3 linked regions of the Lepisosteus oculatus genome follow. The protein of the gene in region 3 purifies or fractionates together with the protein of the main gene of each other region. This does not show direct contact. Links are inferred from orthologs where the notes say so. Each region holds a gene or a part of one and is shown on either strand. Other genes may lie near its edges.

Region 1 (6,891 bases), on a different chromosome or scaffold from region 3:
AACACTACCAGTGTTGGTAAAAGACATTTCAATTAGTCTGTGCTAATGAGTGTTATAAATTGAACCTGTAAGCTGGACAGTAAGTTGTTACTATCCACCTCTGTATCTGAGGGTGCTTTCAATTGTACCGTTCAATCACTCCTGCCTGATAGTTGCACTTAACAAAAACAGGATGTGGTACTATTAATATTTTACAGTATGTTCTTTCTTTACAAGAAATGTGCAAGTCTCTTGGACAGGTAGTAAGGTAAATGAAAAAGAACATGTCCATAAACCAATGCACACAGCACTTCCACACACAATCGATAGATAACTAGTAACCTTACCGTTAGGATGCCAGATTTCAGTAATGAACTTCATCTTTGGAGGCCGCAAGGGATAGTCATAAGGAAACGTCAGATAAGCCTTGAAAAACCCTCCTTCACTGCATTAAAAGAAAGATAAAGATGGTGTTGGCCATCTGTAGGCAATCACTACTGATGCAATTCAGCTCATCTTGTCATGTGGCCAACAACATGAAGTTACAAACGAAGATATAACTGTGTGTGGTTGCACCACTCTTTTCATGGATGGGTGCTACGGTAGCAATTTTCCAGTCAGCAACTACAACACCTGTCTCGAGAGACTGATGGAAGAGATTTGCTCATGGACTATTAATAACATCTCATTTCCTTGAACAGACTTGGTAGAATATCATCAGGTCCTGCAGGTCTATCTCAGTATTTAATATAGGACTTTAGTCTATCTTCAGCCTGATGCACATTGTCTGATCGTTCCCAGATAAGCACGAGTGAAATATTGCATTTTACATCTTTTAACTGGATCTAGTTTTTTTTTTTTTTACTGCTTTAAAAAGTTAAATCATTAAGATTTTTTAATTAAACTATTTGTGCCACCACTTCCCTGACCAATTTAGAAGAAGCTAGAAGCAGAACATCTTTAAGTTGTTCCATCAATTTTTTTATTGGAAGATTGGTCACATTCTTCCGGTCTGTGTCCCCAAAATTGGAAGCCTCCGAGTTGAACTCTATCTTTACAGTTTCAAAGGAAAATAGAGTTTCCTTATTATAATCACAGCTATATTAAACCAATACATACATGCCCTCTAGTAAATCAGTTTTTCTGACAAAGAGTGTAAGAAAGCCGTCAACTCCAACACGAACCACCTCATTTTTCTTCTTATTATAATAAACTATTTTAAAGAGCACCTTTAAAGGTGCCTTCTCAAAGCCCTTTACAGAATGACAACAACAATAACAAATACACAAGATATTCACAATGAGAATACACAGTAAATGGAGGTACTGAATACAGTAGGAGCAGAGGGATAAAGAACAGAAGCAGTTGAGTAAAGGCTCTTCTAATTCCCTGTTTCATCCAAACAACGATCAAACAGGTTCTATTGACCACTTTTCCCATGGGCTTTTAAATACAGTAAAAGACACGGTTATAATCTTTTGGATGTGCATATGATTTCAAAGCTATCCTGTTCTTATTCTATGACTAGGACATTTCTAACTGCATGCACTCTCAGCTACTGTTCTTCCTGGATTTTTAGGATCTTCTCCCATTAGAGCAAACGGATAAAGAAGGAAAAGTCTGACATCTGACCAGGTTTCTACCGCCCTCACAGCACCAGGACAGCCACTTAAAATCCACACTTACAACAGCGTGTCCTGTGGCCCAATTATGACCACCTCCCATTTGTAGATGTCATCATCATCGATGAGCCCTGCCGAGAAGCCTTCCACAGGGTTCTTGTTGAGCTCTGAAATTCAAACACAATTTTAAACACTTCCCTCCAGTAGGATGGAACAGCTGGTTACACAGTGCAAACAGGATAAACTTACCAGACAGTCAACAGGATACATATGCAGAGTAAATGAGTCAAGCAACCTGATACACGTTAGATCGCTGTGGAAACTGTACTGGGGCATATACTACCCAGGAGCATAAGATAAGGGCACCCTGGACAACCAGGAGCCAAAGGAAACAGTACGAATAATATGCTCTTATTATTTCTCAGAGAGATCACATTCAAGGTTTAAACTGAATATCGGCATACTGCATACAGGCAAGATCTCAGGATCCTCTATCCTAAGTCGAATTCTCTCTCATTGCAGTTCATCTCTGCAACATCGCATCTCTCAATAAAACAAAAATGCTGAGTCAAAGCCCTTCAAAAGGAGGAAAAGGTGCGCAAAACGAGTTTTTGCTCGGCTGTATTCAAGAAATGCAGGAGAAGGCTAATTATTGTGCCACACTTGCTCCCAGGTGGGGGCGGTACTCTGTATTAGTCATTTTAAAAGTTAATCCTAACGTCAGAATCACAAAACCAAAGAGGAGCAGACCTGGAGGGGGAAAGAGCTACAAGCCGAAGACTCAGGGTCTCAGTTTTCCACCCGCAAAAAAACACACTCGGAATTCTGGGAACGGCGTAAATTGCGCAAAAGCCAAAAGATCAGCTTTCGAAACACAGGTCTTGACACAAAATAAATAAAAATAAAACAGCTTAATCACATTAGAATTAAAAAAAAAATGAGCAACCGCAATACACAAGGGCTGTGTGGCTTTTACCTGTGTGGGGGAGAGTTCTGGTTGACTCGGATTACGCGATATTTATTTTTTTTTAAGAGACACATTAGTATTTTAAAACTATGTACGGATACGGTGAAAGTGACACAACTCGGCCCCGTTGTAGATTGTAGCTGTAACAGGTAATTTATAAACGTTTAAGCACGTTAAAAGGGAGTCCAGCCGAGCAGATGATGCGGTTGTATCGACCAAAAAAAACCCCCAAAGTTTAGCTAGTTGCCAATTACTTCCTTGCATCTGAACCGCTTCTACATTTCAATGGCACGACGATTCCAGCTTCGTTTTTAAAGAACCAATTTTGTTGGGGGAAAAAAAACAAATTGGAACTCTTAAACAACCCAATAAGATTAATCCGTCCTAAACCACGACCAACGTGCAGCCTGCTAAAGAGAGGAGCTAAATCTCACTACTGTATAAGATACGCCAACCAGCCACATTTTTTTAAAAGGAAAAAAAAAACCAACAACCGAATTAGGTCGTTATCACCCGCTACCGCGTTACACAAACACTTTGGCACTAGCAAAGAAAGCTTAAAAAATAAAACTCATCCCTCACACGAAGGAAAAAGCTGAAGTTCAAGAATAACTGCTTCTTGTAAACAACACATCCTGCTAAAACCTCGATCTCGTCTCCAGACCGAGTCGCTCTCACTAACCTGCCAGCTGTTTTCGAAGAAGCAGCGCTGATTGTTCAGTCATGGTATGTGGGGCTTGTTTTAGATAAAATATATATATAGATAGATAGAGACGTGGTTATCTGTAAGAGAATATCGACAAATAAATAAAAAATGCTATGAAATCCGCCAATTCCTTCCTGCCGAGTCTCTGGCTGCCTGTCTGACACATTTAGGGCTCCCGGAGTGATTTAAGCTGCTCACACCGCATGCGCGCTGACTCGGGAGAATTGGGGTCGTCCAAGCTATCTCCTGCTTAAAAATATCCCATATCCTTCTTTCATTTGTAATTCCTTTAAAACTAACCCAACAACAAACAAAAAAAACAAATAAGCGTGGAAACAAAATCGTATAAAACACAGACTCTCATTTTAGTTATGTGTGTGTGTTCCTTCAGTGCTGTTTGAGGTCGTGTTTTTGCGGAGACCCAGGGCATCAAATGAAGAGGCACGCTTCCAGAATTAATAGGCGACCACCTTGACACTACCAAAATTGATTGAAAGGTTTTCAGTGTTATCTTCTTGTGGCGAGGAAAACAAATACAATTTTAAAGAGGCCAGTTGAAGGCAGCGTTTGAAAGGACCCCCCTATTTAAGACCTCAGAGGCGCCATATTTGATGCAATAAGGGAGAAGTTTTTCAGGAGGGTTTAACGAAAGCTGTTTTGATTATTTTTGTCCATTGTTTTGTCTTTGGAAACCACAATTGCTAAAAAAATGAATGTTATAGATCACGTTCGAGAGATGGCAGCCGCCGGACTCCACTCCAATGTCAGGATATTGAGCAGTTTGTTACTTACAATGAGTAACAACAACCCGTATGTACCTTTCGTTTCGTTGACAGGTTCTGGACCAACTCCTCTGCATATAATATGTAGTATATGTGGAGCTTTTATCAATACAGTTTTTTGAAAACGTGTTTTAAACCCTTAACGAAGATGTGTGAGCTCCATTAAATATGATACCTCACTATTATAGTGTAACGGAAGTGCTCAAAACAAGTGATGAAGTGGTACGCCGTATGCACTAGTGCACTCATGCAAAAACGATAATAGAATATAGGTCGGACGTAGACAAGGGAATGAGTACATCCATTCACAAGCAAATCATTTTATAGTTGTAAATAATTTATGCAAACTATTTGCAAAATCTCCGGAGAGAGCAGAAAAAAAATAATGTAAATGTTGGGATTTACTCAACATAGAGTACAGCACCAGAGTAGACCATACTCTTTTCACTGCTTGTGTTGAGCTCTTTTGCAGAAGTGTCTATAGTATGCATTACCTATATTGATGAGCTATTTCCTGCAGCTGCATTTTAGATTTTGTTAAATCCATGAATTGTTTTATGTGCATGCAAATGTTTTTTTTCCAGGGAGCTGTTTTCCCCATCGCAGAAATACCAGCTGCTGGTGTACCACGCGGATGCCCTGTTCCATGATAAGGAGTACCGGAATGCAGCTTGCAAGTACAGCATGGCTTTGCAGCAGAAGAAAGTGTTGAGCAAGACCTCTAAAGTAAGGACCTCTGCTGGGAGCAATGCATCCTCTTTGCAAGGACAGGTACATACTGTTTACTTGACTAAGAGTTTTAGGTACCATTTAACTGGTCACTCAGAGATAAAAAAAAACCTACCCAGGCAGGGTGATCCATTTGGTCCCGGTAATCACATGAATGCTTTAAAATCAACTGGATTTTTAAGTTTGTATTATAGTGAAAGATGGGTCATATATATACTGATGCAAATCTAAATTGTGCATGAGGAACACAGAGGTCTTGTTCAAGTATTTAGTGTGACAAGCTGAAATTATTTGCTTCTAAAATAGTCATTTCAAATTAACGTAGTATAAAAGGTGAATTGACTTCAATATGACAAATGCCAAAAGGCAATAAAAATAAAATCTAGAATTTTTAGCCTCCAGGTTAAATTGAGAGTGATAAAGAGTCCACATATCTTGTTTTTAGAGCCTTCCGTCTGAGATTGAGGTGAAGTATAAAATTGCAGAGTGCTACACCATTCTCAAGCTGGATAAAGATGCCATTGCAGTTCTGGATGGGATTCCATCAAGGCAGAGAACGCCCAAGGTTAGCTGTAGTGTTGTGCTCAATAAATGTCAGTATATACTGTATGTATTTATGTATTCTAAGTTTTGTAAACTCTTTAATCTTAGCAAATGGTTATTTGTATTTCTGTTAGTAGTGTAGTATAGTAGTGTTTATTTCTAGAGCCATAAAAACGTCTGCATGCAAATCAGTGCATTGATTGTTTCCTTCACCTATTATTTAGGAATGTTCTGTTTTCATAAAAGAGTGCAAATTACCTACACTAAACATGCTATTTAAAATACTCATTAGAATTGGTGTTTGATATGTTGGATAGCTAAGCTCAGATGTTGAAATCACTCAGCAGTGTGTATTTTTTATTTTCAGATCAACATGATGCTGGCTAACTTGTACAGGAAAGCTGGGCAAGAGCGCTCAGCAGTAACCAGCTATAAAGAAGTTCTGAGACAGTGTCCTCTTGCTCTTGATGCTATTATCGGTACATACTTTTAATATGTAGTTTGTTTTCACATGGTATCCCATTCCATCTCCCCTAGATGCTTAAAGATATTTAGCTTGCAAAATGTCTGTTTTTGCAAGTTAGAAATGGCCCGTTTTTGAGAGGGAAGTTAGTTTTGCAAGCTTTTGCACTAGTAAGAATTCTGGAGTGTGTGTGTGTATGCTCTCTGCTTTGACTGTATACTTTTGTTATACCTAATGCACATTTTCCCTTAGCTTTTAAGGCTGAAATTGACCTAAATAGAATTTAAGATTTCAACTCTAGGTTGTATTGCTTTTCTTTGGTTTGAAACATAGTACCCTTTTTAATTAAAACTATGTAAAAATTGGAGTAGTTTACATTTTCAGCCATGTAAAGAAAATGTGCCAGTAATATTTTCAGTGCACCCTTAAAGTCAGAATATTGATGTAGTGCATTGTTTTTCTGTATGAAAAGTATATAACTCCCAACTGTAATGCTACCCTAGCATGCTACCATTTATTCCTTCTAAATGAATTATTACCGATAAAGGGTGCTTAGGTATACTGCCACATTGCAGTCCACCACTTGCCAAATTCCAGAGCAAAGAAAACCTAATGCAAGGAAATATAGGACATCATTTTTTTACAAAAAGGTAAACTAGACCAAAATGTTAATCATTTATGGAGTTTTTATATGAAGATGGTCAAATGAATCCTGCAAAATATCTTACAAGATGCCATTAGTGTTTTGCTTTAGTGGAATACTGGAACTCTCCTTAGATATTATAGTTGACACTTGCACGTCTCCAGCTCGAGGAAATCCATCATCTTTTTTATTTTTTAAAACATCGGGTAATGCCAGGTTATAACTAGAGTCAGCGGCGTACGTGGTCCTGCTTCATGTTGTTTCCTGGATTAAAGGTCGGTGTGTTTTGCAGGTCTGCTGTCCCTGTCTGTCAAAGGAGCAGAAGTCGCATCAATGACCATGGACGTGATTCAGAGCATCCCCAGCCTGGACTGGCTTTCCGTGTGGATAAAGGCCTATGCTTTTTCACATGCTGGGGACAACCTGAGAGCCATCAATACTATCTGGTGAGACATAA
Region 2 (7,489 bases), on a different chromosome or scaffold from region 3:
TTCCTTGTATATATAAGCCATGCGTTTGGCAAAAAAAAAAAGAAAAAAATCTATATTGAGATCCTACATGGAGGATTTGCAAATGCACTACAGCTGCTCCCGTGCCAAGCGCCTGGATACCGGAGCAGACGAGGAGCACTGCGCATGCGGGTAACAGTAGCTGACTCCGGAGACGGCTGCCGTGGTCCAAGGATCCACACCGATCGCTACACTCACACTCACACTTACACTGCTGTCCGTGGACACTGCAAGGGCTGTGTAGGTCCCTAGTGGCTGGTAGCTCATATTTTACGGACCTTGAAAAAGTGTCATATAGAAGGGAACGTATTGTGTCCAGATCAAAGTAAGAATAGAGCATCGAACCAGGGTCTGCAGCTAATATACTGGGAAAATGAAGCGATTCAAGTAGCCTTAAATCTCTGTCCCGAATGAGAAATATAATTATGCTCAAATATGTTAAAACAAAACTTAGTGCGGTTTGCCAACGCTCTAGGAAACTCACTTCTACACTACTCAAGATAATTTGTTTTCGCTTTTTAAAATTAAGGTGTCGTTTCTCATCTGTTTTCTTTAGATGTTATGGATTTAATTTCTAAAATTACAAATTTAAAAGTGACAGATTAGGTGACGAAACAGTGCACTGTTGATGATCGAGAAAGGCACAAGCTATTTTTATCCATCCATCCATCCATTTTCTAACTCCTTCATCCAATTCAGTGTCAGTGAGCTGGAGCCTGTCCTGGCAAGCACAGGGCGCAAGGCAGGGTACACCCTGGACAGGACGCCAGTCCATCACAGGGCTGACGGACACACATACACTCACACCATGACCAGTTTTCTATTTTCTAATACGCCAATTAACCTACCAGTATGTCTCTGTGGGGTGAAACCCACATGGAGACAGGGTGAACAGCAAGGCAGCAATTCTAATTAATCACTGCTCCACCCTGCCACACAAGCTGTCTTTAAAGATATAAACATTTCATCAGCAAGTGTGTGTTCAGAACAGGAATGAAACGACTGAAACATGAGAGCCTACAGATTTAAACGCAACGGAGATGTTAGTTGCGTGTCATTTAGAATGATCTTACATTACTCTGCTTCATTACTACATTACTCCGCTATTATTACCTTGCTGTTAATGATAATTCCTGCCAGCAAGAATTAACCTGTGAGCAAATTCATGTGACAATAGAGGTGGACCGAAGAGAACAAAATAAAGTGTCAGATTCGGATGCACACACAATGAATTGAAATGGTCGGCGTCATTTTTATTCATCATCTCTTTGTTGAGAGGACAAATAGCAAACAATGGTGTGAACACAAGGGATTAATTGCTGTGAACTGACAGAGGAACACCTTTGGGTTTTCCTGTTTACATTTCAGCTTTCTTTCCTAGCACAATGCTGTCTGCAGGTGGAGGATATCAAGGAGTAGGAGCGGCTTTCAGGAGCCGATGAGTTCAGGCATCCTCACATTCTGCGTCCAAAGGTCTCTAAGCCACAGCCTAGGTAGCAGAGCGCTCTACAAGCAGGAGTCGTGAAAGCAGAGGAGCAATAGCATTGACAGAGCAGAAGCGAAGAACTGCTGGAGAGAATTCATCGTATGGTGCTTGACCCAGGGAGCTGCAGAGAGCATGCTGGGAAGCAGCGGAACTCAGGAAGGGGCAACAAGGACACTTTCCGAGTGGTATCAGAAGATGTGTGAGTTGGCATCGTCAAAGTCTTTCCTGACCAGCAGTACTGAAGCTGTAAAACTGTTACTGAAAATGGATGGATTGACATACTGTAGACCAAAATATGTTGGTCTGATTTCATTCACACCTTATGTAAATAACTCACTTTGGCTTTAATCAGCAAAGGCATTTGCTTTGCCTGTACATAATGATCACTTAAACCATTGTTTATCCTGTAATGGTTTAATTTATTTTGACAAAGCTCTTATTTTTGCTGAGCACTGTTTAGCTGCAGACTACAGCAGATATAGTAGTTCAGAGCACCAGCTGATTTTGTCATCCTCACTGACTCGAATTAAAAATACCTGAGAAAGCCGATCTATTGCTAGAAACATTACATGCTCAAGATCTGCTCTCCTTACACTTAGTGCACCATAACCAAGCGGACGACACCGACCCTCAACAACCCCAAACGTTCCCTGACCCTTATGGCCAGCAATGACCTGCACACTCATCAGAGAGAGGCCAGGATCCCCTTCTGCACCCTGTTCCTGTCATACGACATAAGTCTTATCTATCCTGTCCTTATCTATCCTGTCAAACTATCTGACTGAAAATCTTCCAGGATGCCAATAGCAGGATCAGCCACAGCTGCGCTAGCCTCTACATTGTGCACTTGATGAGCCACTTGCAAAGACGGGCCACTAGTGTTACAATGTACATCTCAACAGGGAGGGAGTGCGCATTTTGGCCCGAAACATCAAATACACAGATGTGCATAGAGTCCAGCAAACGGAGAACTAGGGAACTGAGCAACAGTATGCCGGGGAACACAGGATATGAACCACCTGCCCCCCTGTCAGCACACACAGAGGACTGGTACACCCTACCGGCAGCCCACACAGCCCCAAAGAGCTGTGCAAATGTCATCTTGAAGAAGGAGAGGCTGGCTCTGAACTCAGCCACATCCAACACCTGATGATCAAGATCTACACCAGGCTGATGGTGTCATAGAAATCAAACATTAACAACCAGCCACTGTGAAGACACCAAGCACCCTTTAACAAAGTGATCGACTTGCAAGATTTCAGAAATGCAAAGTTTTATAATGTCTAGAAAGGTATTCCTAATGCACACAGAATGTTTCTTTCCACTTTTTCTATTTATGTTGTGAGTCTGATTTATTTTGCAAGTTCATCTCATCTTAGTTCAAAGTGTCACAGTTAGGGCCTCTGGGCATCATAAAAAACAGTTCCAAGAATCTCCAATATATCCTTCCATCCATTTCCTAGCTGCTTCTTCCAGTTCCGGGTCATAGTGGAGCTGGAGCCCATCCCGGCAAGCTTGAATGCAAAGGATCCAAAACCTCTTTGTATACCAGCCATTTACAGTGTATAAGTAATAGGTTTATTCCATGCTGAAAAAAAGAAGAAAGAGAACACAACGTTTCGGCCGTGGAGCCTTCTTCAGGTGTGAGAGAGACAGGGCAGTAGGCAAAGGTAAAGTAGCGGGAGAACAAAGGTTGAGAGGGAGGAGGAGTGAGAGGCGGGAGCAGGGGACAGAAAGAGAGGCCAATCAAGAGGTGTGAAGTCAGAATGGGTGCAGAGAGGTGTGAGTTAACAGTGTATGTCAATAACACAGCAAGTCACCAGAAAAACATGAAAAAGGAGTATGTTTTCATAGCGCTTTCTTTTCCACGAAAGCAAAAATAACTATCCCTGGTATTTCTGTACTGTCATATCTTTCATTTCTAAAGGATCACAATATTGACACGGTGGCGCAGTGGTTATTGCTGGGGTTCAGTTCTAGGCTTTTCGATTCCAGTTTGTACTGTATGTTCTCCCCATATTCAAGTGGGTTTCCTCCAGGTGCTCCGGTTTCCTCTCAAAGTCCAATGACATGCTGGTAGGTTAATTGGCTTCTGGAAAAACTGGCCCTGGTGTGAGTGTGAATGTAAATGTGTCTGTGTGTGCCCTGCAATGGATTAGCTTCCCATCTAGGGAGTGTCCTGGCTTGCACCTGTTGCTTGTCCCCGTGACCCTGTATTGGATAGAGCAGTTAGAAATGGATGGTTTATATATGGAAGGAACCTGACTTCATCCCTACACTGTAGTACAGTACAGTGCTTACCTACCTAGCAGCAACTCCACTATACAACACATCAATATTCTGGTACAAGAGTAATAGTGCCACCTGTGGTGCACTAACATTTGGTCTTATCTACATTCTGAGATAAGGCTATAAGGTTATTGGCTACTGTTAAACACCCCTGGGAGCTCAATGCCCTGGACAAAAAGTCACATCGATTTCGTATTTTTTATTTAACCTTTTATTTTTTATTGTAAGTTACAAATAGTTGCATAGTTACAGCATTTAAATATGTTTTGACGCCTGAAACAACAAGGCTTTTAAAACACATTTTGTAGCAATATACTTTACTTCTGGTCCATAAATCATCATTTGGCAGCTTTAACTGTTGTGACTAATATTATCTATTTTGTCTTTATCCTTAAAAGTTTTGTTCCATTATTAATTACAGCAATAGTGGAAATTCGTGCTTTGGAATTAGTAAAATCCGTACATTAGATTTAAGAGCTTTCAGTATTCGTATTTTGGGAATTTGTTCCATGTACGTAGGTAAGAGGGAGATTAAATCTCACAGAACAAAATTATGTAAACTGCAGGCGAAAGCTGCTTTTCTCAAAATAGGAGTTTCCGGCGGCGGCAGAGTAACAATAAATCCAAGACGGAAGCTGTAGGACAGCAACAGCGCAGCCTCTCTGTGATGACGCAGCGATACAAACTGACCAATGGGCGAGCGTGCTGAACGGAAATGGCGAAATTTGAATGTTCTGGAGAGGAAAACAGTGGCAATAAGGCTGTTTCAGCTTCATGTGGAGATAATCTTGCAGATATGTTCAAGAGCAGTAAGTATGTGTGAAATATACCATCAAATTTATATAATTTAATGTAGGAAGTCTGCCGATTGATCGCCTCAAGAGGTATTTCTGGAGCACAGTGTTTTGAGGAGGTTGCGGAGATGGAAATTGCAGACTTTTTGATTGCAGTTCTGTTTTTTTGAATGGCTGCATAAGGGTTGGGCAAAGTGCATTCACTTTGTGTTGCGTTTTGCCGTATTTTGTTGTTTATATTTATTTTTTTTCACCTCTTTAAGGTGAGGCGTGGGAATGTGTAGTTTATGAAATCCAATATTGATATGTTTCTTTGACGAGGACGTAAGCATTCCTAACGGCGAAATAAAACAATAACGGCAAACTCGGTTGAATGGTCGTGTAGACACGCCTTTTTCTATAAATAGCGATCATTTATATATGTCTAGGTTTTCTTGGAGATTTGAATCCCAGTAAGTGCACTTTTGTTTTTAAGTAAGACTTAACGCTCGATAGTGATTATAGTACACTAAAAAAACTGGATATATTATATGTTTTTATCATTCTGAAATTGTGTGACAGTATCACCACGTATCTGAGACGTTTATAAAAATGAAATTTTACGTAAATTATTAAAATAATTAAAATTGCGAAAGCGGTTTAATGAAAAAAATCTCCTGTTTTGGAGGTTGGTCACCCACACATTCCTGACATATGACTTGTTTATACAAGAGCTGGGTATCCCCCCCGGTCTGAAAACACTGCTTTCAAACGCTAAAACCTTTTTAATAAGCGTGATGCAGACGCTAAAATTCAGTGGTTTAATTATAGAAACAAAATTGACGGTTTATTTCACACATGCTTTCCGTGGTTAAACACACACTCGTATGGTTGTGAACGGGTGATCGGAGTCCAGTTTGAGCCTCATCATACATTCTTTGGGAAAAAAAATAAATTATTTGTCTATTTACAAAGATAGATTAAATTAAATGAGAGTTAAAAGATTTTGGATTTAAGTACAAAATTTGCAGTGAGAACGCAGGTTTCACGAAGAGAACTGTACTGCCTGTTATTAAATGTTTTGCAAGTAGAGTGAGTGGTTAAACGAGTTAGATCAAGTAGAAGGTGTTTACACACAATATGTACAGTTTAGCGCTCCTCGCTTGAGCTCAGCCAATAAGACCTATTTACACCTAAATCGGATTATATGTAGAGATAAATTCATTCTCTCATTTATATGTTACATGTTGGATTACAATGGGCGTGACTATTCTGTGGCAGACGGGAGACTATTCATGATAGGTGACCTATTAACCCGCTTGTGTTGTGACTTCTGTGAACTTGGGTGATATTTTGCACTGATACCATGGAGACTTTAGCTAGAAGTGGCCATTCTTTTGGAGGACCCCTACAGCTGTGTTGTCTTACAGTTCCTCACAGCATATACCGTACTGTGTCGTTTACAATTGTGGGGTAGTGAATACTCGGTGCTAGTGTATAAATACAAACAACTCCGCACGGATAATTTTAACAGTAACGTGGAGGTGTTTATTTTTTTTTAAGCTTCTCTGGAGTTTAACATTGCTCCAGTCCTCATCGCACTTAAGCGGCATAGACGACTGCCTTGATTTTCCAATGTTCTTTTGCTGCACTACTGTTGATCTATTTCGGACACCCTAACATCTGAATTTTATAAATATCTGCTCAGCATCTATTTCTACACCTGTACTGAAACAAGGTTTACAGTAAACGTAGATTGTAAATTATTTTGCATTTCTAAAGATGTGATAATACTAGCTATGCGCGATAAGTTTCTTTTGCTTTTGTTCGTTATTATTACAGTAACTAAGCATTCCAGATTTTATTTTTACTTACAGCCATGGATGATGAACAGCATACACAAAAGCAACTTGCTTTGCTTTCTGCAAGACTGAAGAATATTAAATCAAAGCTCTTTGATGAAGGTAATTACATTGTTGCACTATAGTATGTATTTGTTTAATATTTTGTGCATTTCCGTACAGATTATAAACATTTCTCAATGACTGCAAAAATGCTCAGTAATAGTCAAATTAAGCTTAAAAGCAAAGCAGATGCATGGTAGTTTATTATTATTGGAGTTACCCTCAGAGTTGTTAATAAAAAGTAAGCTGTTTTTTCTCAATCTGATTTTATAGAAGTGTTAATGAATTCATTTTTATTCTTTATTTTTCTTTGTCACTTAATACTTTTATCTTTTGTTTTCTTCCTTAGATGATACCGACAGCTTAAAACAGATTTTAAGTTCCAGCTCACCCGAATCATGCTTGGCCCATTTAAAAAACATAGAGAAGAGAGGCAACCCTCATACAGATCCATGTCTTCTAAAGAAGCTCGTTGACTGTTATGGTCATGTGTTTTCTTGTCTACCAGTAGAAAAGAACTGTCGCAATGAAAGCTATGCAATGATGCTGGTCAAGTTTGCAGAATTGAAAGCGTAAGTATATGGGTTCATATCACAGACTCGTGTGTGTGCTTTGCAGTGGTATCAGTGAAAAACATCCATTACTCCTTCATTGCTGCCTCTCCATATCTGCTGAGTAGTTCACCGTTTTTAAAGGCTAGATGAATGCTCAGTGCATTTTGGAGACACAAAGACAGGGAGAGAGAAGCTTGGGGTCAGAGCGCCGGGTCAGCCGTTTATACGGCACCCCTGGAGCAGTTGGGGGTTAAGGGCCTTGATCAGGGGCCCAACGGAGTAGGATTCCTCTGCCGGCCACGGGATACAAACCGGCAACCTTCCAGCCACAGGGGCAGATCCTTAGCCACAGAGCCACCTCACTGCGCCAGCCACCGAGGAATGTAGCAGAATGCTAGGCTCATTGGCAGTTAGTGGCTCCATCAGTGATAGATGAGATGCTTTTCCATCTTTCTATATTAAATG
Region 3 (7,831 bases):
ATGCTAAACCACAACACTGAAGTGGGTAGATCTGGAAACTCACATCCAGCTCTTGTCTTAATTTCCCATACTTTTTTTTTCTTTTTACAATTGCTTAGACATCTACAAATTACAGCCTATTGAGATCACAGAAATGAGTCATGAATAAATCCACCAACTACACCTACCTACCTACACCTATATATTTCAACTAGGGTGAACAAATCAAAACTGCAATTAAAACTGTTTTCTCAATAGGGCTGCACTGATTCTGTCAATCTACTAAATGTATTTGTTTATTCTTAAAATGACTATCGAAGGTCGAGACCCAATGTCTCTGAATCCATCTCTTGCTCAGATCAATCCACAATCAGAGGAAAGAAAATGTGATTTTTTAATGACCTCCCGATACCTAGGAGAAAGCAAAAGCATTCAGTATAAAAGATAATAATATTGATTCCTGTAATAAAGAATCAATCCCTTGTACCTGTTCCCTTGGAATAGCTACAGCACCTGCTGTAAGGTTCTGGGTACCATGAGGACACTTTGGAACAGCAGAAGATAGATAATCCACCTGCATTAATACCTGTCAGTGCAGAGGAAGCTCTGGAGTACAGCAACACCCTCTGCAACAAATTAACTACACTTCAGCAATCCACTAATCTCTTATCCCTGATTTATTTTTTAGAACTCCTTTTTTTTTTCTTTTGCCTTGAGGATCCGAGTCCGCACAGGGATTAGATCCAAGCTTTTTCCGAATCCGCCCTGGCGCGATGAAGTCAGACTAAGTATGACCTCTGTCTCGAATGTGAATGGAAGAAATGGAGGGTAGAAATTCAGACTGGGTGCGTCTAGGGCAAACAGTGCCATTGGGGTCTCTAACAAAATACCCAGGAAATGTGCTTTTCTTACAAAAACTATTTGTGTTTTTAAAATTATTAATTGCACCCCCACTCACGTTCTGAATCATGCTTCATGCTTCATGCTGATTCATGCTTTACAACAATCAAGGTGAAGGGAGAAACCTTAGAAACGACTAAACACAAATGACTACAGTAAATTTAAGGGAATCAAAAGCTGATGTATGAAAGTAAATTTTAAGTCATGGGCTTAGGGATCATTCCCACAGCCTTGGAGAAAAACAGTACAGGAAACATGATCTCCCCATTATCTCAGGGTCACCCAGGGTTAGGATCCAGTTTTGGGGAACTAAAAGTAAAACCAAAGAGCAAAGAAAAGTGACGTTGTGTAGGGGGCTAACGGTTCACTGATTTACTTAGGAGACAAACCGCTCAAGCCCTTAAAGACAGCAAGATTTTGAAGTTTATCGTAAAGTTCACAGGATGGCAGTGCAAGAAAACTACAACAGGGGAGATCCATGAATTTAAACTGAGTTACAAGCAGCTGGTTTGAACATGCTGTAGCATACTAGTTGTGTGACTGTGTAAATCTAGGTACTTAATTTTCCTTTAGGAGAGTTTTGGACAGAGTCAGGAAAACTAGAAGGGTAACATATTGTATTAGTGGTGTTGTGGCTCCACCTGGTGGCTTTATACACTTAAAACTTCAGGCTCTATTGAAGCTTTTGACAACATCTTAGCCATCCGATTTCTGTTTTATCCATTACAAGGTCACAGGGGATGTCAAAGCCTAGCCCAGCAAACAACAGGCACAAACACCCAACAGGACCCCATCCCATCAGAGGGTACACACAGGCATAAATACACAGCCACACCAGGGCAAAATTATCTACCAGCGAGTCCAAGTTCAAGTTCAAGTTCATGTTTATTCAATTCAATTTATTTTTAGATAGCGCCTTTCATGACAAGGTTGCCCTAAGGCACTTAACAATGCAATTGACAATACATTTTGTCAATACAGAACAGAAGACCAGAAGACAATGGAGGAGAGGAACCAAAAACTCCTTATTAAGGAGAAAAAATACCTCTAGGGGTCCAAGGTCAACTGGTTGCCCAACCTTTTTGGGCATGCTAACATCATACAATTAAAAAAAGGAAATTATGAGGGTATTAATCTATCCATCCATCATGTCTTCTGTGTGTTAGTACTCCATGCAGATCTCTGTAGACCAGTAAATTCCTTCTAAACTTTAGCTATATCTACGATGTCCCTCTTGGATCCAAGTTTATTGTCATTATACTCATATACAGGTATATGGTATAATGAAATGCTATTTAGCTAGCTCTCAGATGGTAAGCAGTACAAAAAAAACAACAATACAATTGTATAAGAAAAGAAAAACAGAGACAACAGGCAATGTGCAAAACGACAACAGGTAATGTCCTTAGAAACACAAGGAGAACATACAAACTCCACACAGATGGATTGGCCCAGGGCCTCAGTGCTGTGAGGTTACCATGTTAACTGCTGTGCCATCGTGTCGCCCGGAACAAACCCGGTGGCATTTGTCACAGAAATCCTATTGTTCATGAGCATTGTCCGCAGTGATCTAAACTTTGGATTTGAGAGGAGTGTGGCTGGAAAGTGATACAGTTAAATCAGAGGTGAGCACTAGAATTTGATCGAGGCTGGGATCCAGGTTCCATGCTTCTGCATAAGAAAGGTTACAAACTTGTGCAGTCTTTTCTTGAAAGAATCCAGGGTATTGGCTTCAACATCCTGGCTGGGTAGCTTTGTCCATACTCCCACCACCCTTTGGGTAAAGAGGTACCTCCTGTTCTTGGATTTAAACGCTCTTCCACTTGCTCTCTCTGGTTCATGTTTCACTGTTCATGTGGAAGACATTCACTGAGTTGACAGTGGCAATACCATTAAGGATTCTGAATAGTTAAACTAAGCACTAATATTAATACATACATTAGATCTGAAGTGCCCTTTATTCTGACATAAACCCCTCTGCTCCGGTACCTACAGTAGTTGCTTTTTTCTGGACTGACGTTAGAGCAGCAGTATCTTTTCTATAATGTGGTGACCACAATTGTGCACTATATTCTAGTAAGAGACCTTAGTAGTACAGTAAACATTTTGAACATAACTTCCACTCATTTGAATTCCACTTACAGTATGTCAACATAATCACGTAGGTCTTTTTCTCATAAGTAGCTTCTTCTAGCTCAGTGTGTCCCATTTTTATTCCAGATGTGCTTTACTTTATTCCTAATGGTACTTCTGCTGTTGTAGAATGACAAGAACCCTTTTTTTTATTTCTTTTAGCCTCCATTGTAATATGTTTTAAATTTTCATTTTTTAATAACTTTATCACCTGTGCATGTAAACCAATTGTCTTTGTTTCTGTTGTTTTAAATGTGTTGTAATATGCTTTATTTTTCCCCCCAAAATAAAAATAGCTATTTCTTAACTGTTTTCTGAACCCTTCCGGATGCTGTTTTTTTAGTTTTTGTTTGAGTCACTCTTGTGATAAATTTGTTCTTTGCTTCAGACTGTTTAAACTCTAACCATCCCTTTTCAAATGACCTCATACCTATCCTGTCCTATTTTATTTCTCTTCCCCTGCATCTCATTCCTTCAAAAGCCTGCTGTCCAGAAATTGGACACTTTTGCTCCATACTCAACCTGTACAGATTCAAAATATCCATCAGCACCATATTATGGCCAAAAGCTCATAAAGGTTCTCCCATCTTTGTTGTCCTCATTCTCCTGACTACTTGAAAAGACAAGATCTGCTCAAGCAGTTCCACCTATAAGCACTCTGATAACCTGTCTTGCCATCAGTGATGAACTACTGTTTGTCTTCCATTTCAGCCTGTTCCTGACATACCTAACCGCCCTTTGTTCCCATTGTGACCTACAGTTACCAATAAAAATAATTTCTTATGTGGCATATACATTTTTAATTTCATTATACGGTGTTGAGTAAAAATCTACATCTGCAATTGGTGGTGGTGTCTAACACACTGCTAACACCACACCTATAGATTCAAAGAAGTAATTCCTCTACCCTTAATTCCCCAACCTGAATATTCTTTTTGATACGCTGTAGTCCCTTTCTGGTTCTTTGACCTCATTTCTGTGTCTCGACTTGCATTGCTTTTGTTTTGTTCCTGCCAAGTTTTAAGCAGAGCCTCAGCGTTTTGACGAGTACCTTTTTTCTTTCCGATCTTCCCAGAAGAGAATCCGCTTATGCCCCATTCCTCTCCATCAGTTTCAGTAACATCATAACTCCCTGCTAATGTGCCAGCTTCCATCCTATTTCATTTGTTTCCCAGCTTTTAGGTATAAGAGCCTAATTACAGAATCGTTTGTTTTTTTTCCTTTGGTCTTTGTTCCCCATGTAAAGTTTAAGTGTCGGGCTTTTAGTGGGTTATTGAGCCAAGACGACCACCATCTATCCCACTCAGATGCAATCTGTCGTGTCTCAACTGGTGGCCTTTGATGTGGAAAAGGTTTTTAGAGATCCAGAAAGCTAAAAAGTTTATTCTGCACGCTGTGGCTTCATCCAGTCGATCCCAGATGGGACTCAAACCCACAATCCCTGGGTTAGGGCGGGACAGTAGCTTATCCATTAGGCCACTGGGGCTCATTAAAATGTGCTTTAAAAACATGTTGATTAAACTGGACAGAGTATAGGGCAGTTTTACTTTGAAAGAGGCATGTATTGGAGAGAAGTCCATACAGAAGGTCCCAAACCCTAATTTTTCATAATGAAGACAGGAAGAGAGAGAAAGTAATTGAGAACGAAAGCAGCCAGCCATTATCACTGCGCGCTGTAATTAATTGTGAATGGAAGTGTTATTTCACACTCCTAGCTTGCGCTTGCGTTTCGGGTTGTTGGCGAAGCTATCGGCAATTTCCGTCACAGTCCGTCGTTGTTCGTGCCTGTTCCGCATTAATCGGCAATCTCCGGCGGGTCTCGGTTTGGTCGCTAACGGTCGATGTGTTTAAATCCTCGGAGCTCCTTCGGGCCCTGAAACTGAGCAAAAGGCGAAAGAGGGGTTGCGGAACGGGGGAAGCGAGTTAAAGGCAGAGAGAAGGAGCTTGATCGCGTAATGACGGTGCTACAAGAACCTGTGCAGGTAACGGAGGAAAATAAAGAAACGCGGCGCAGCTACTTGGTTAAAATGAGAGCGGCCTGTGGTGGGAACGCGCCCACCCGAGTCCGGCTCTCGCCAGCCGGTAGGGAGCTCTACTCCGAGCCCGAGGCCTGAAAACAAATAGTGGAGGCCTCGCGTACTCTCCTTTTGGGAAGCTAAAAAAGACGCGATTGAAAAGCTTTACAAAGCCAAAAACGATGCGTTTGTTTGATTCAGAATTCCGGTTTATCAGAATTATAACAAGATTTTCGGGTGATGTGCGATTCTTTTATAAACGCTTTGTTGCAGTTTATTGCTCTTGAAATTGTATTAGTCTTAAAGTCCTAATTATTCGCCGGTGTGGCATCTTGCCCTATGGGGGAAAGAGGTGTTTACTGTAGTATTTTGTTTTCTAAAATACGGCAGGTAGTTCTGTAGCATTTTGCGACCTTACACAGGTAACTTGGCTGATGTGCTAGTGGTTAATAAATTGTGATGGGTCATTAACAGTTTGATCAGATGGCGAATTCATTCAAATTGGGGCACTGTGGAGTAACCAGACATTGTGAGGGTCGTTTTTGAGGTTTTGTTCTGCTTTGGAAAGACTTTGGTTCAACTACTGAAGTTTGCGATTGTGAGATGTGGAACATTGTAACGTAGATGCCTTTGAAGTCGAACACCTGCATCTTTGTTTCCTCTGGCTTCAGTGCATTGCTTTAGCGACTGATTGTAGAATTTGAGTGAATATTGATCGGTAGGCTTTTTTTAGGTCTTTTTAAATAAAAATAAAACCGGAAAATTGTTACTTGGTGTTAGCGAATGCTGTTTATCTCGGAGTGTGTGGACAAATAAACCTAGGTACATAAAATGACACAACAGCTTTCGAAGTTTTTGACTGCTGTTTTTTAACAATTTTTTGCTCCTGAAAAGGTATTTTTTCGCATTTAATAAACACCTGAAGGGTGATGCGCGGTGATCCTGTAAGGTGAAATGTTGCATGTGAAGAGCAATACGTTGAACGTGTCTGCAGTGCAAACGTCTTCATGAACAGTCGTTTATAATCAAATTCGGTTTATTGCTTTGTGGTCTAATGTCGCAGAACTGTGGGTTTAGTATATCAAAGGGACTTTCTGCCTATCCAGGTATTGTTTTTCATCTGAAGATATGCCCCAATCCCGCCCCTTCGTAGTAAGTGAGGCTGTTGGGGTTAGGGGTTATAACTGGGAATAACTGTGCTCTTTTTCTCTTAATAGCACCAGTAATGCTCGTGCTTGTAGAATATGTACAGGTGTTTGGAGAAGTGTTTTACCTGCTGAACTGAGGTAACTGTTGGGTGACATGGAAAGTAATGGACATAACTAGACTGGTGTATGATCACTGACACAAGTACATAGCCACCTATATTTGAAAGAGAATGTGGTTATGATAGCTTGTACTATATATAACGCAGGGAGTAATATGATTGGGGACTGCGTGAAGTGTCATTTCTGTGACTATAATGCCCATGAATAGCACTTTTGGGTTACACTTGAACTTCAGCTGTTAAAACATAACACGGCCAATCTATCTTGTGTGGCGTATAATGGAGAACTAATGTGAGAGTGTTATCCACTCTGTTTCCTGAGGGAAGTAAAGAGTATCAGCTTCAGCTGTTGTATCTGAGTTCCAGACTCCCACAAACCTTTGCATAAAGAAGTTATTGCTGCTTTTGATCTTAAATGCACTGGTCATTATATTATTCTAAGTAATGTTTTCTTTTTCACAAAATGTGTCAAGTTTCTTTGAGATAAAAAATGCCGCTAACAGGACAATAACGTTCTTTTTAAACTGCCTTACTTTAATTACACTGCCATTTGGGTTGTATCCAGTTAATCTCTTGGCCATTTACTGAACTTAACCTATGTTTAGTCCGCTTGGTTATATACGAGCAGCAGTTAGTAATTATGACTTTTGGTTTTATTGAGAAACATTTTGTAAATATTTCTTAATATGCAATCTTATTAGTAGTATTCCTGATACAACAATATGTGAATGGGTTTTTAAAAGTTTGATCTTGTTACCCAATTCAAAAAAGATTTTTAGTTTGCTAAATCTTCCCTGTTTCAAAATGTGTAAATTAACTAAACACGTTTCAGATCTTGATGATATTTGTGCTGCAGATAAGGACCTCTGCTGCCAAGATGGTACTGAATTTTTCATTTCATTCCTAGGCAGCTGTTTGGCATGCACTAAACCAGTATGCCTACCGAGATGCTGTCTTTCTGGCAGAGAGACTCTATGCTGAAGGTAATGAAATAGATGTGAGGAGATCACCCAGCTGTTCGGAACTTTTTCTTGGTTGTAATAAATCAATAATGTCTCAGAAGTGATGGAGTCAGACTGGGAAATAAAATTATTAGGGACTCATGTATCCTGAATAAAGGTGGTGTAGTTGTACATCTTTAATCATGGCCCCCAAATTATTGTGAAGTGAGCTATATTTTAAGATGCCTGATTTTTAGAAATAAAATAACAGTAGAATTCTTTGTGCTGATCTGTTTTGCTGACTTCTATGTTTTTAACAATTACGCCTAGACATTTTGTGGTCTTGAAATCCTGTTTTACATTTTAATACTCTTTTCTGTATAAATGTATAGTCTTTAACAAGAATCCTTTTTTTAGCTATTTGGGGTGGTTTGCGGGGGGGGATAAAGTATAACGAAATGTTTGGTTGCCAGTTTTGTTTTGTTTTTATGCTTTCGAAATCTAAGCTCTTCATTAGGGCTGAAGCTTGTTTTTTTTATGTGCTTGGACAGTGCATTCTGAAGAGGCTCTCTTCTTATTGGCCACATGTTACTACC

What was found. The genes of interacting proteins can lie anywhere in the genome.
Region 1: the proteins of cdc27 (region 3) and anapc7 purify together in Homo sapiens (affinity purification with western blotting; 23 studies listed by BioGRID and IntAct, with this or other methods). This does not show direct contact. The link is inferred for Lepisosteus oculatus from reciprocal best matches to the Homo sapiens genes CDC27 and ANAPC7.
Region 2: the proteins of cdc27 (region 3) and ttk purify together in Homo sapiens (affinity purification with western blotting; 3 studies listed by BioGRID). This does not show direct contact. The link is inferred for Lepisosteus oculatus from reciprocal best matches to the Homo sapiens genes CDC27 and TTK.

What each region holds. Positions count from the first base shown.
Region 1 is NC_090717.1:10,172,318-10,179,208, reverse strand, and holds the start of anapc7 (anaphase-promoting complex subunit 7), read left to right. Parts: upstream 1-3,872; 5' UTR 3,873-3,983; coding exon 3,984-4,084; intron 4,085-4,640; coding exon 4,641-4,827; intron 4,828-5,230; coding exon 5,231-5,350; intron 5,351-5,695; coding exon 5,696-5,807; intron 5,808-6,726; coding exon 6,727-6,880; intron 6,881-6,891. Other genes in the region: ube2g1b (ubiquitin-conjugating enzyme E2G 1b), read right to left, coding at 327-424, 1,666-1,768, 3,251-3,293. UniProt on the Homo sapiens protein: Component of the anaphase promoting complex/cyclosome (APC/C), a cell cycle-regulated E3 ubiquitin ligase that controls progression through mitosis and the G1 phase of the cell cycle.
Region 2 is NC_090697.1:30,765,295-30,772,783, forward strand, and holds the start of ttk (dual specificity protein kinase Ttk), read left to right. Parts: upstream 1-4,470; 5' UTR 4,471-4,485; coding exon 4,486-4,606; intron 4,607-5,971; exon of another isoform or gene 5,972-6,014; intron 6,015-6,443; coding exon 6,444-6,530; intron 6,531-6,819; coding exon 6,820-7,042; intron 7,043-7,489.
Region 3 is NC_090723.1:7,973,229-7,981,059, reverse strand, and holds the start of cdc27 (cell division cycle protein 27 homolog), read left to right. Parts: upstream 1-4,808; 5' UTR 4,809-4,967; coding exon 4,968-4,994; intron 4,995-7,201; coding exon 7,202-7,277; intron 7,278-7,786; coding exon 7,787-7,831. UniProt on the Homo sapiens protein: Component of the anaphase promoting complex/cyclosome (APC/C), a cell cycle-regulated E3 ubiquitin ligase that controls progression through mitosis and the G1 phase of the cell cycle.